2 linked regions of the Schizosaccharomyces pombe genome follow. Changing the gene in region 2 together with the main gene of any one other region gives a genetic interaction. Each region holds a gene or a part of one and is shown on either strand. Other genes may lie near its edges.

Evidence for each region.
Region 1: mutations in nhp2 (region 2) and SPOM_SPAC11D3.15 together harm fitness more than expected from each alone (negative genetic interaction), as found in Schizosaccharomyces pombe (one large-scale study listed by BioGRID).

The regions. Positions count from the first base shown.
Region 1 is NC_003424.3:133,963-141,825, forward strand, and holds SPOM_SPAC11D3.15 (ATP-hydrolizing 5-oxoprolinase), read left to right. Parts: upstream 1-2,282; 5' UTR 2,283-2,368; coding exon 2,369-6,322; 3' UTR 6,323-6,403; downstream 6,404-7,863. Other genes in the region: SPOM_SPAC11D3.14C (oxoprolinase), read right to left, coding at 1-1,139; SPOM_SPAC11D3.16C (uncharacterized protein), read right to left, coding at 6,843-7,238.
Region 2 is NC_003424.3:4,771,502-4,776,281, reverse strand, and holds nhp2 (box H/ACA snoRNP complex subunit Nhp2), read left to right. Parts: upstream 1-3,114; 5' UTR 3,115-3,135; coding exon 3,136-3,600; 3' UTR 3,601-4,280; downstream 4,281-4,780. Other genes in the region: sst6 (ESCRT I complex subunit Vps23), read right to left, coding at 1-348, 388-444; SPOM_SPAC1782.12C (uncharacterized protein), read left to right, coding at 1,088-1,118, 1,215-1,291, 1,348-1,596; met14 (adenylyl-sulfate kinase), read right to left, coding at 1,776-1,915, 2,022-2,490; Cdc14 family protein phosphatase Clp1, read left to right, coding at 4,623-4,671, 4,727-4,780. UniProt on the Schizosaccharomyces pombe protein: Non-catalytic component of the H/ACA small nucleolar ribonucleoprotein (H/ACA snoRNP), which catalyzes pseudouridylation of rRNA and is required for ribosome biogenesis.

The DNA.
Region 1 (7,863 bases), 4.6 Mb from region 2:
GCCGGTCCTGGAAAAGCACCAGCACTTTCTGGACCAACCGAAAACAGTTGATTTCTCCAAAATAATCGAGAACCACCACCTGCAGCAACCGTCTGAATATCCAATTGAGGGGACTGAATGTATAGTCCGAATATATTGGCTTCGTATATATGCTCAAATTTACCATCGTATCTAGAAACATCAGTTGACGTGCCCCCCATATCAAAACCTATGGCTGGCGTTTTGTCATCAGCATGCAAAGATGATGTTTTCGCAAATCCAACCGTACCTGCAGCAGGACCGCTCATTATAGCACTAATAGCAGTAAAATTATCTATGTCAACTAGACCACCATCGCTTTTCATGAATTGAATAGTATTAGGCTTCACATTGTAAAAATTCTTCTTAAACGAATCAAGATAATACCTCAACGTAGAACTAAGATACGCGTCGATAATGGCGGAAACGGCCCTTGGAACTATTTTAACCATTGGTGTAAGTTTTGATGAGAGAGAAATATCTGTAAATCCTATACGTTTGGCAATTTTTTCAACTACCTCTTCATGAAGAGGATATGTATAAGAATGCATAAGACTGACAGAAATGGAGCGAAACCCTTCATTGTATAATTCCTTTAGATCTTGATATAACGCTTCTTCATCCAATTTCTTTTCCACTCGCAAAAATTCTCCTGTAATTCCTTGAACAATACCAGCTGTCTTTGAGAATTGGTTTTCTAAGACAACTCTCTCTTTTGCTTCTATGACACGTTGATATAATGGTGAAGGCCTTGATACTGTGAGGTCGAATAAGTCCGGGCGAGCTTGATTTCCGATTTCTACCAAATTTCGAAAACCTTCCGTGATTATGAAGGCGGTTTTTTCACCCTTACGTTCTAACAAAGCATTCGTCGCAACAGTTGTACCCATACGTATAGAGGATACTCTTGTCAAGTCTAAAGGGACTTTACGAGGTATTTCTTCGCCGGACGCATAACACAACACTCTTCTAATTCCTTCAGTTGGAGCATCGTCGTATAATTTAGGGTTTACAGAAAGCAACTTGAAAATCCCTTCTTGCTCCCTCCATCCAGATATCTTATAGTAAACATCGGTGAAGGTTCCACCCCTATCAATCGCAATTCGCACATCTTGTTTCATTATAAAAAAATTAAAAGGTTATTCTTAACTTAAAGAATGAATGAATAACTACAGCATGCTAATTGCGAACTTTTATACCTCTAGTCAACGTTCCAATCAGTCAAGATAAGTAAAACGAGCTCCTCCTTGACCGAGACATTGAACGTCCAAAAAATTATACCAAGATGGGGGATTCCATAGTCGTAAGGAATGATTCTTATCATTTAAAGATTTAGTGCTCTCCATTTAGATTTTTAACCGAAGCGATCAAACTAATAATTCGTGTATGTACATTTTTGCATTGTGGAATAAACTGCCCCAAGAAAAAGATTTACGAGTGCATCCCTCATGTGAGAGTTTGTAGTTAACTCTAATCAAAGCAAGAAATAATAAGTACAGTTCAATTAATCTAAAGAAACATGTGCACAAAGTACCTACTAAAGAACAGATAACAATCTTACAAACCATTTTACGAAATAAATTTCGCAAAAAAGATCAAAATGAATAATAATTCAAGCAAATTAAATTAAATTAACATCATTACCAATAAATTATTAATTTTTACTAGTAAAGAGTGTATTTTGACATTAATTTTACTGATTTCGCATATTTGGTTCTATCTACGATATCAATAGTACCAAGCAAGTAGATAGGGAGTCCTTGAATAGCCAAACAGCAGATCTTAAACATCATGAAATACTTAGGACTACAAGTGTTGAGATACTTATGATTGCGATAAATACAATTCTTTATCGATAATCAATTTAGGAACGGACAGGAAAGTTGCAAATTAGCAAATTTTTAAAGCTTTATTATAATAATTAATTGTCAAGATCTTTATTTTGCAAACTGTTAACAATGATACCCAATACATAAAATATGTAGGATTTCTGTAGTATACTTCCATATTGACCAGCTCAAAACTTTCTAATTAGACGCATGTTGAATATCAATTTAATGATTCATCGATAATTCAGATACTCTAATAATTGCATGACCATATCAGCAGGCTTCGATACTGCTCCTCCACTCCGCCGAACTCCACAAATGAATACGGAGCTCCGCCAACTTTCAGTCTGATAAGGAGGCAATCTTTGCTACACAATATTGTGATGATTTAATAATTTATGTATATATATGGATATCATTCTTGCCTAATTCATTAACTTGTGCTGTTTTTTATTTTTTGCTTTCTTTTTCTACCTACATATACATACACATAGATTTAATACACATTTTGGATTTAAAAAATGAGTGTCAAAATTCACATTGATCGAGGTGGTACTTTTACAGACGCAATCGCCACTTTTGCTGATGAATCTCGCCCTCCTATTGTCATCAAATTACTTTCAGAGGATCCTAGTAACTATAAGGACGCTTCTATCGAAGCTGTCCGACGCATTTTAGAGATTGTTCAAGGAAAATCGATCCCACGAACCGAAAAATTAGATACCAGTTGCATTAATCATTTACGGTGTGGTACTACAGTTGCTACCAATGCTTTATTGGAACGAAAAGGTGAACGATGCGCTTTTATAACGACTAAAGGATTTAAAGATGGTCTGTTAATTGGCAACCAATCTAGACCTAATATTTTCGAGTTGGGAATTCGAAGACCTGAAGTATTGTACTCTAAAGTTATCGAAGTTGACGAGCGTGTAACACTAGAAGATTATGTTGAAGACCCAATGAAAGTCAAAACCACAATTGACGGCTCTGACCCGTCACTAGTAGTTGGCCGTTCTGGTGAAGTCGTTCGTATTATGAAAAAGGTAGATTGCGATGCACTTCGCAAAGATTTGCAAGCATTGTACGATGAAGGATTTACCAGTATCGCCGTTTGCCTTGCCCACAGCTTTACATTTCCAGATCATGAACTTCTTGTTGGTAAAATTGCTGAAGAGGTTGGTTTCAGCAATATCAGTCTTTCAACTAAATTAATGCCGATGATTAAATATGTTCCTCGTGCTACTTCAGCTACCGCTGATGCTTACCTTTCTCCAGTTGTTAGAAGATACCTTGCCGGGTTTCAATCAGGATTCCTTCATGGTTTAAAGACAAAGGATAATTCAAAGGGTGTGCGTTGTGAGTTCATGCAGAGTGACGGTGGTTTGGTTGACGTTAATAAGTTTTCAGGCTTACATGCCATTCTCTCCGGTCCTGCTGGCGGTGTCGTAGGTTTTGCACTTACCTCATATGACGAGGACGTTAAAATTCCTGTCATCGGATTCGATATGGGAGGTACATCTACGGATGTTTCTCGGTATGGTGGTTCATATGAACATGTCTTTGAAACGACAACGGCAGGAGTTACTATTCAATCTCCTCAATTAGATATAAATACGGTAGCCGCTGGCGGTGGATCACGTCTTTTTTGGAAAAATGGCCTTTTTGTTGTTGGACCAGAAAGTGCTGGTGCACATCCTGGCCCAGTATGCTATCGCAAGGGAGGGTACTTGACTGTTACAGATGCAAATTTACTGTTAGGAAGACTTTTACCTGAGTCTTTCCCTAAAATTTTTGGTCCTAATGAGGATGAATCACTAGACGTCGAGTCGACGAGAAAGGAGTTTGAAAAATTGACTGCTGAGATCAATTCTGGCCTTGAGAAAGAACGTCAAATGACTGCCGATGAAGTTGCTTTTGGCTTCATTAAGATAGCGAACGAAACTATGGCTCGCCCAATTCGCGCCCTTACTGAAGCTAAAGGACACGATATCTCCATTCATCGTTTGACTTCTTTTGGTGGTGCTGGTGGACAACACTGTGCAGCTATTGCCAAATCTCTCGGTATTACCCAGGTTTTAGTTCACAAGTATAGTTCAATTCTTTCAGCTTATGGAATGGCACTAGCTGATGTCGTGTCTGAAGTTCAAGAGCCTTCCTCCTTTACTCTGGATGACTCAAATACTGAATCTATTAAGAAGCGTTTTGATAGCCTTAAAGAAGAAGCGAAAGCTAACCTTGAGGAGCAGGGATTTACCGAAAGCCAAATTAGCTATGAGTTATTTTTGAATTGTCGGTATCAAGGAACTGACAGCACTTTGATGATTAGCAAGCCTCTTGAGTCTTGGGATTTCAAGCAATCATTTTTTGATAAACATAAGCAGGAGTTCGGTTTTATTTTTGAAAATAAAGATATAATTATTGATGATATCAGAATTCGTGCTTCCGGAAAAAGTTTCCAGAGCAAAGAGCCCAGTGTAGATGCTCAATTAAAAGAATTGAAGTTCGAACCTGTTCAAAAGAGCCTAGCAACATGTGTCAAGGACATTTATTTCGAAGGTGGACGTGTCCCTTCTGAAGTTTATAGCCTAGATAACTTGCCTGTTGGAACAATAGTGAATGGCCCTTCTTTGATAGTCGACAAAACGCAAACCATTGTTGTTCCTCCCAAAGCTGTTGCTAGAATTTTGCATACACACGTTGTAATTGACATTTCTCATGGAAATGAATATACGGCAAACGATTCTCTCGCTAAAGCAAGTACAATTGATCCTATTTACCTTTCTGTATTTGGATCTCGGTTTATGGCTGTAGCTGAACAAATGGGAAGGGCTCTTCAGAAAACGAGTGTCTCCACTAATGTTAAAGAGCGTCTTGATTATTCGTGTGCACTATTCGATGCGAAAGGAAATCTTGTAGCTAACGCACCTCATATGCCGGTTCATCTAGGTTCTATGTCTACTTGTGTCCGCACACAAGCAAAAATTCACGAAGGGAAACTAAAACCTGGTGATGTTCTTGTTACCAATCATCCATCATATGGTGGTACTCATTTGCCTGATATCACTACTATTACTCCTCATTTCGAAGGGGACGAGATCATGTTTTACGTTGCTGCGCGTGCCCATCACGCTGACATCGGTGGTATTCTACCTGGTAGCATGCCTTCTTCTAGTAAAGAGCTTTCTGAAGAAGGAGCAACTATTAAGAGCGAAAAACTTGTGGTTGATGGAGTTTTTCAGGAAGAACGCATGATTGATTTACTCTACAATGAACCGGCAAAAGTGGAGGGTGGTTCAGGCAGTCGCTGTCTTCGCGATAACCTAAATGATTTGAAGGCTCAAGTTTCCGCAAACCAAAAGGGAATCAATTTAATTACATCTTTAATCAAGGAGTACGGAAAAAATTCTGTTTTACGTTATATGAAGGCAATTCAAGAAAATGCGGAAAGCGCCGTTAGACAATTATTGCTTGGAGTACGTGAAAGATTTTTAGGTGAGGATTTATACGCTGAGGATCATATGGACGATGGGTCAAAGATATGCTTACGCATCACTATTGATGAAGAAAACGGCGATGCCATATTTGATTTTACTGGTACAACTGAAGAAATCTATGGAAATATTAACGCCCCGGAGGCAGTAACTTATAGCGCCATCATTTATTGTTTACGTGTTTTGATATCTGAAAATATCCCACTTAATCAAGGATGTCTGCTTCCAATTAAAGTTATCATTCCTGATAACTGCTTTTTGAAACCCTCTGAAACAGCTGCTGTAGTAGGTGGAAATGTGCTAACGTCGCAAAGAATCACTGATACTATTCTCAAGGCATTCCAAGCATGTGCAGCTAGTCAGGGTGACACAAACAATTTGACATTTGGAATTGGCGGTAAAGATCCAGAGACCGGTGAAGTGAAACCAGGATTTGGATACTATGAGACTATTTGCGGTGGATCTGGTGCAATTGATGGATTAGACGGAACTTCTGGTGTTCATACTCATATGACTAACACCCGAATTACTGATTTGGAGGTACTTGAAAGAAGATACCCTGTCATTTTGAGAAAGTTTATCATTCGTGAAAATTCTGGCGGCGCAGGAAAGTACAAAGGTGGTGATGGTGTTATTCGCGATATTGAATTCAGAATTCCAGTTACCCTTTCCATACTTTCAGAGCGTCGTGCCTATCATCCATACGGTATGAAAGGAGGTAAAGATGCCGAATGCGGTAAAAACATTTGGATTCGAAAGGATATCTTACCTTCAGGAGAGCAACGAGTTCGACAAATCAACGTTGGCGGTAAAAACACATGCCATATGCAAGCTGGTGACCATATTGTTATTATGACACCTGGCGGTGGTGGATATGGACCCCCTTCTGAACGAGTAGATACTGTCAAGAAAGCTAATGGTGTCCAGCATTTCAGGGCTAATGGCACCATCTCACAATTACAGGAAATACAGCACACGAATTAGTTAGATAATTTATTAATGGTAATATAAATAGTTTGTCTTTTACATCTTAATTTCTTACTAATAACAAAGTTTTTAAAAATATTTGTATATAGTTGTCGAATATACTACAAGTGTTGGTGACAACAACAGGATAAAGTTCAATAATATATAATATTCTTGAATACTAAATCATTTGTAGAAAATGTATATAATTGTAATTAAAAAGCCGTATAGATTAAGATAGGATATATGAACGCGTTTCCAAAATTTGTGAAATAGTGAAATATAAAAATAAATGAGTAAATATTTAATGTAATAGGAAAAAAAAAACTGGAATGGACTGCTAAAGCATTAAGAACATAAAAATTAGGATGCATGCGAGGAATAGGATGAGCTTTCAACAACTCTAACAAAAAAGAGTAAAGTTGGGAAAAAAAGGGTAAAATCATCTGCGCTCGAAAAAAAAAGAAGCAATCCTACGAAGGCAATCACTTAAAAGAAAGCGAACTGGAACGTAAGAGAAACCTTTCATTTCAGCAATTCAATCTGATTGGAATGTTACATTTCCGAAAGCTCTCACAGATGGAGATTTAACATCCACAGGAAAGCAAGAAGAAGCAGTAACACCGGCAGTATCAAACTCAGTATCACCGTCTCTAAACCTTTCATCAGCATCGGGTTCCGGAGACGTTAAAGGCATTTGTAACGATTTCAAAACTACAGGTGGAAGTGGAAACCCATATGAATTCAGCTTTTGTTGGTAGTATTGAATATATGTGAAAATGTCGGGAGACTTATGGAGAATGAAGCGATTAAAGCTAATCGCAAGCACACACAACTGAGTGCGTGGAATATCAGTACACCTTTGGTGAAGAGCCTCGATGAATTGCTCCATGAGCGCACATTCCAAATCCTCGTCAACCTTCAAAGTAGTCATAAAAGCGTTATTTGGATTAAAGTTGGTTCCTTCGAAAGATTCTAACTATATATATTAATGTTTCGGAATAGGAAATTATCGTAAAAGACAAGATAATCCAGAGAAAAAAAATAAGTGATCGAATTATGAACGATCGATTGCAGTACAGATATTGAAAGGATTAATAGCTATTTGCCACTTAAAAGCAACAATGAAAGCAGGATAAAATGACTTTGAGACGTTGGTTCCAATCGGTTTTCTCACGCGAAGAGCCAGAAAAGAAAAATGAAGGAGGTAATTACTAAGTCTTGAACTTATATCAAAACCTGTAGTAAGTGTAAAGGAATAAAGATTTCAAGTTGCTAACACCTATCTGTAGAACCTAAAATCAGCTGGTTTGATACAATCTAGTTCCTTATCCTGAAGACGTAGGAATTGCAAGCTTTTTTATTTGCTAGATAACAGTGAATATCGATCTCACAAATGATAGAAATGGGTATTCGGATTCGTTAAACCAGTTTTACGCGTTGTTAAAAAATGCAAGAGAATAAAAGCTGTAAAACTAAATGAAACAAGTCAACAAAATGGAAGAACTTTTATATCTCTAATTTTTGAATGTTTAACTTCATCTACTTCCTAATTATCT
Region 2 (4,780 bases):
GTCTTGCTTTATTAGAGCTTGAACTAAACGATAGATATTAAAAACAGACCGTTCATTTTTCCAAAGTTGTAGTAGAAGACTTGTGTACTTATGCTTTCCTCCTTTTTCATCCAATAATTGTACTATTGGCGGCTGTGATGGATAATAAGAGCGAACCGTTATACAAGCCGAGGTTAAAATTGTTTTGTCAAATGCTGGAGTACTCAAATAAATGCGGACCTCTTCTATTTTGTTTTCGTCTTGCGTATCTACTTCAATATTAATTGCTTGAAGTGTAAACGTGTCTTCACATTGTTTTCTAAACAATAATTCTAGTTCTTCAGCAAGTCCATTCTTCCAAAATCTAATCTATTTTTCAGGTTAAATTGGTAAAAAAACAAGCGGTACCTTTTCAATTGTATTCAAAATTCGTGAAGGGTGTTCATTGATTGCATGATCTGACATGGTAAAAAGAAACGAGGCGCACTTATGCAAGCACGTGATTAAATCTTATAGGATTTAAAGAAATCAAATAAAGTTAGCTGGTTTTCGAAAACCTATTAATTGCAAGCACCACTTGTGAAATTGATTTTGAACAGATGGTCGTTTTCTTTACGCATTTTATCGTTGTAATAAATAACGTCAATGCTGCATCTCTTTTTTAAATAAACTGTATAATATTACAATATATCGTTATATCAAGCGATAAAACAGGTAACGATACTCAAGATTATTTTCAATTGATGCCATATTAACATTAACGCCAAGTTTATTTTAAGTGCTACATACTCAATTTCTGAAATTGACGATCTGATAGTATATAATATTAGGATATGAATTTATAGACTGATAGGAGCAGTTATGAAAAATTCACAAAGTACCAATACGCTCAGATTTCTTATTCAATATTTTGGAAATGTGTCGTATCCATAAATATAAACTAAGGTAGCAACTATAATTGAGGATCATTGTTCTCACATACGTATTCCACTTCTCTTTTAACACCAGCAATACTACAATTGCAAGACTATTGAAAGGTTAATTACGGCAATAAACCGAGCAGTTTGCATTTTTATTGAAAGAATTATCTGATATTTGTTTATCAATAATGACAATTTGGAACGTAGCTGCATTGACAGGTAGGTTCTAGCACAAGTAATAGACTGGTATATAACCTTTATATACATTTACTTTTTGTTAAACAACCTATTTTACGTTATCTAACAATAAAAAAGGACTGCTCAGCGTAGGTTTAGGTGCATATGGATCTCACGGGTTGCAAAAACGTGTTCAGGATCCACATTTATTGAAGGTAGGATTTATGCATTTTTATTTCATGATTGTAACTATTTTAACATAAAATTATAGTCATGGTCCACTGCTTGTACTTACTTGATGTTCCATTCATTGGCAACCATGGCCGTTTCTTTGCATCCAGTTTACGGGAAATCTCGTTGGACGGGACCCCTGCTGATTACAGGAAGCTGCTTGTTTTCTGGGACAATTTATGGACTTTGTTTATTGCCTAAAGGACATAGTCTGCGACGAATTCTTGGGCCCTTGACACCAATTGGAGGACTAGTGATGCTTACAGGGTGGGCTACAATGCTAGTTTAAGAGAGCTTTAATTTAGATGCTTTTTGTTTTACCAGTACAGACGCAAGTATTAATGATGTCGTTTCTAAAATACTAGCAGATAAAGAATATGTTATGATTTTATTGGGTCCCAAGTAAGCGAACAAAAAAGAGAGAAAGGATATAAGGGGAATACAAGTATTTAAGATGAGTTAACGTGTTTACTTCAAAGTAATCAAATCCTTTTCCAACAAGTAATTGACGATTTTTTCAACACACTCTTCAATCGATTGAGTATGAGAAGAAACCACGATTTCAGGAGAAATGGGAGCCTCATAGGGAGCAGAAATTCCTGTAAATTCTAAAACCGGTTAGCCTTAATTTTATAGGGTCATCTATTTAAAAACATTGAGAAAATGGAATTTCCTGAGGGGAAAAAGTATCTTTAATGTGTAACAATTACCTACCTTTAATCTCACCAGCACGAGCACGCTTGTACAAACCCTTTGGATCACGCTGCTCGGCAACTTCCACTGGACATTCAACATAAACCTCAATAAAAGGAAGTCCATCTTTTTTATGAAATTCGCGTGCTTGATCACGATCCTTGCGATAAGGAGAAATGAAGGAAGTTACTGCAACTACACAGGCATCTGCGAAAAGCTTGGCAACATGACCTATGCGACGAATGTTTTCGTTACGATCTTGTTCACTAAATCCAAGATCACTGTTTAAGCCGAAACGAACATTATCACCATCCAAACGGTAAGTTGTAACTCCACGCTGAAGTAAATACTGTTCCAAAGCACAAGCGATTGTAGACTTTCCAGACGCAGATAATCCAGTCATCCAAATGGTCATACCAGGATGACCCACAAATTTGATACGTTCTTCTTTAGTGACGGAACCAGGGTGAAATGTAATGTTAGTAGCCATCGTAAACAAAAATGTGAAAATCCAATCTTCTAATTAATTGTTGGAAAAATCAAATGGTACGAATTTGAAAAATATTTTACAACTGTTACTGCACAAAATCTAACGAATTCAATTTGATGATTAACGCTATTAGTTACAATTACTAGGTCACAATTTGAAAGCATTCGGAACAGTCACAATCTTTTATTTTTTAGCAATTGCGCAATTACGCCTATCCGTTAGCGTCTCGTTAGGAGTCGTAAAGTCACCTCGGTAGGAATTAAGAATAACGTAACGAAAATTTCCCTTTAGCTTAAACCATGAGCGCTTAGTTCATTTAGTTGATTTGGCCTTTTTAAGTGCTGTTTCGGTTGTCTAAATAAATACAAATGATTATATAATCTTAGGACTAGTCAGGGAGTTTAAAATAGTATCTTTAAGTAGGGAAGACAGCAACATCTATTTACAGTAAATTTTTCCAATACTCCGTTCGTGGAATAGTAGGCATTATGTCAATTTAAGGAATATTACCAAAGCTGGTATCTTAAAATTACGTATTATACAGATGGCTTAACAGACTATTATCCGCTACATAGCGTTACTGAAAAAAGTTTTATTGGGATCATCTTTTGGGCTTCCAAACTTATCCTTCTCCATTTCTTTATCATGGCAAAAGATAAAAAAGACCATAAGCATAGTGGAAGCACCGAAGATGAGTATGATTCATATCTTCCTGCTTTAATGCCAATTGCTAAGCCTTTAGCTCCTAAAAAATTGAACAAAAAAATGATGAAGACTGTCAAGAAGGCTTCGAAGCAGAAACACATCCTTCGTGGGGTCAAAGAGGTTGTAAAGGCTGTTAGAAAAGGAGAGAAGGGTCTTGTAATTCTTGCTGGTGATATTTCTCCCATGGATGTTATATCTCATATTCCAGTATTATGTGAAGACAATAATGTCCCTTACTTATATACTGTTTCCAAAGAGTTGCTTGGTGAAGCATCAAACACCAAGAGACCTACTAGCTGTGTTATGATTGTTCCCGGTGGAAAAAAGAAGGACATGTCTAAAGTTGAGGAGTACAAGGAAAGCTACGAGGAAATTATAAAAGAAGTACCTGCTCTTGAAGTTTAATTGTTCAATATCTAAAAGATGCTTAGCCATTTAATGTAGATTATTATATACTATTAAAATTTGGTATTTATCCTGGGATTTAACTTTTGGTATATCATGTCTGTTTGCTTGATAGTAAGCGAAAAGAAGTTTTGCTTAATGGTCGGTTTTAAGGTTTCAAAAAATTTCCTTTTTAATCTAGTGTTTTATCATTCTTTCTTATGCCCTAGTATTTTATGGGTTTAGACTGGTTTGCGAGCAAACTAATCACTATACCTCCAAAACTTTGTTAGCAATAATATCGTATCATTTACCAACTTATATGAGAATGGTATATCGCTGTAACAGCGATGAAATATCAACTGATTTTTCCTCAAATTTCGTTTACGCTGATCGTTTCATTACGGATTTAGCCTGTGTTTATTTCTAACTAGTTGCGCAAAAAAGTTTTATTATTCGTTTAGGTTGCTATTTAGTATTCAGAGGCGGCGTGTTAGAACCAGTTTACAACTAACTTAAATTTCACCCAACGTCGTTCTTACCATTATAATGTTTACAAATATTATGCTTTCCAGTGCTATCCATAAATGATAGATTAGGGTAGCTTTAAAGGTCCGGCAATTATATGGTTATCTATCCGGATTTTGTTATCGGATTTAAATATATTTGCTAAAACAAATCGAATTTCAGATAAAAAAGTTGGGTTGTATTTGTATGAGCAAAAAGTATTCTGTATGTTTATCATAAATTGATGTGCATTTTTACTTACTTTGTAAGATAATGATTATTGTTGTTTATTTACTATAGTGTTGCTAAAAGTTAATGTCTTTTTTTTTTTAATAAAGAGAAAAGATTAAATGTCAACATAACGTTGTGTATAGTTTAGAATCCACTTTTGTCTTCATTTGTTTCGCACCCCACATATTTTCTTGTGCATTATCATCCCTTCTATTTACAAGGACCACCAACACCCAGGTACACAATTTAGAACTCAACCATTACGGGTTTGACGAATATAGACGAGATTCGCAATTACTTGTCTGATGGATTACCAAGATGATGGGCTTGGTGAAATGATTGAGTTTTTGGAGGGTATGCATGAAGTTTAACTCAAATATCTCGTAAAATTGATTAACATGTTAAATAGACAAGTTATACTACACATCATTGTCGCAACCACCTAAAGCCGAGTTATATCCTC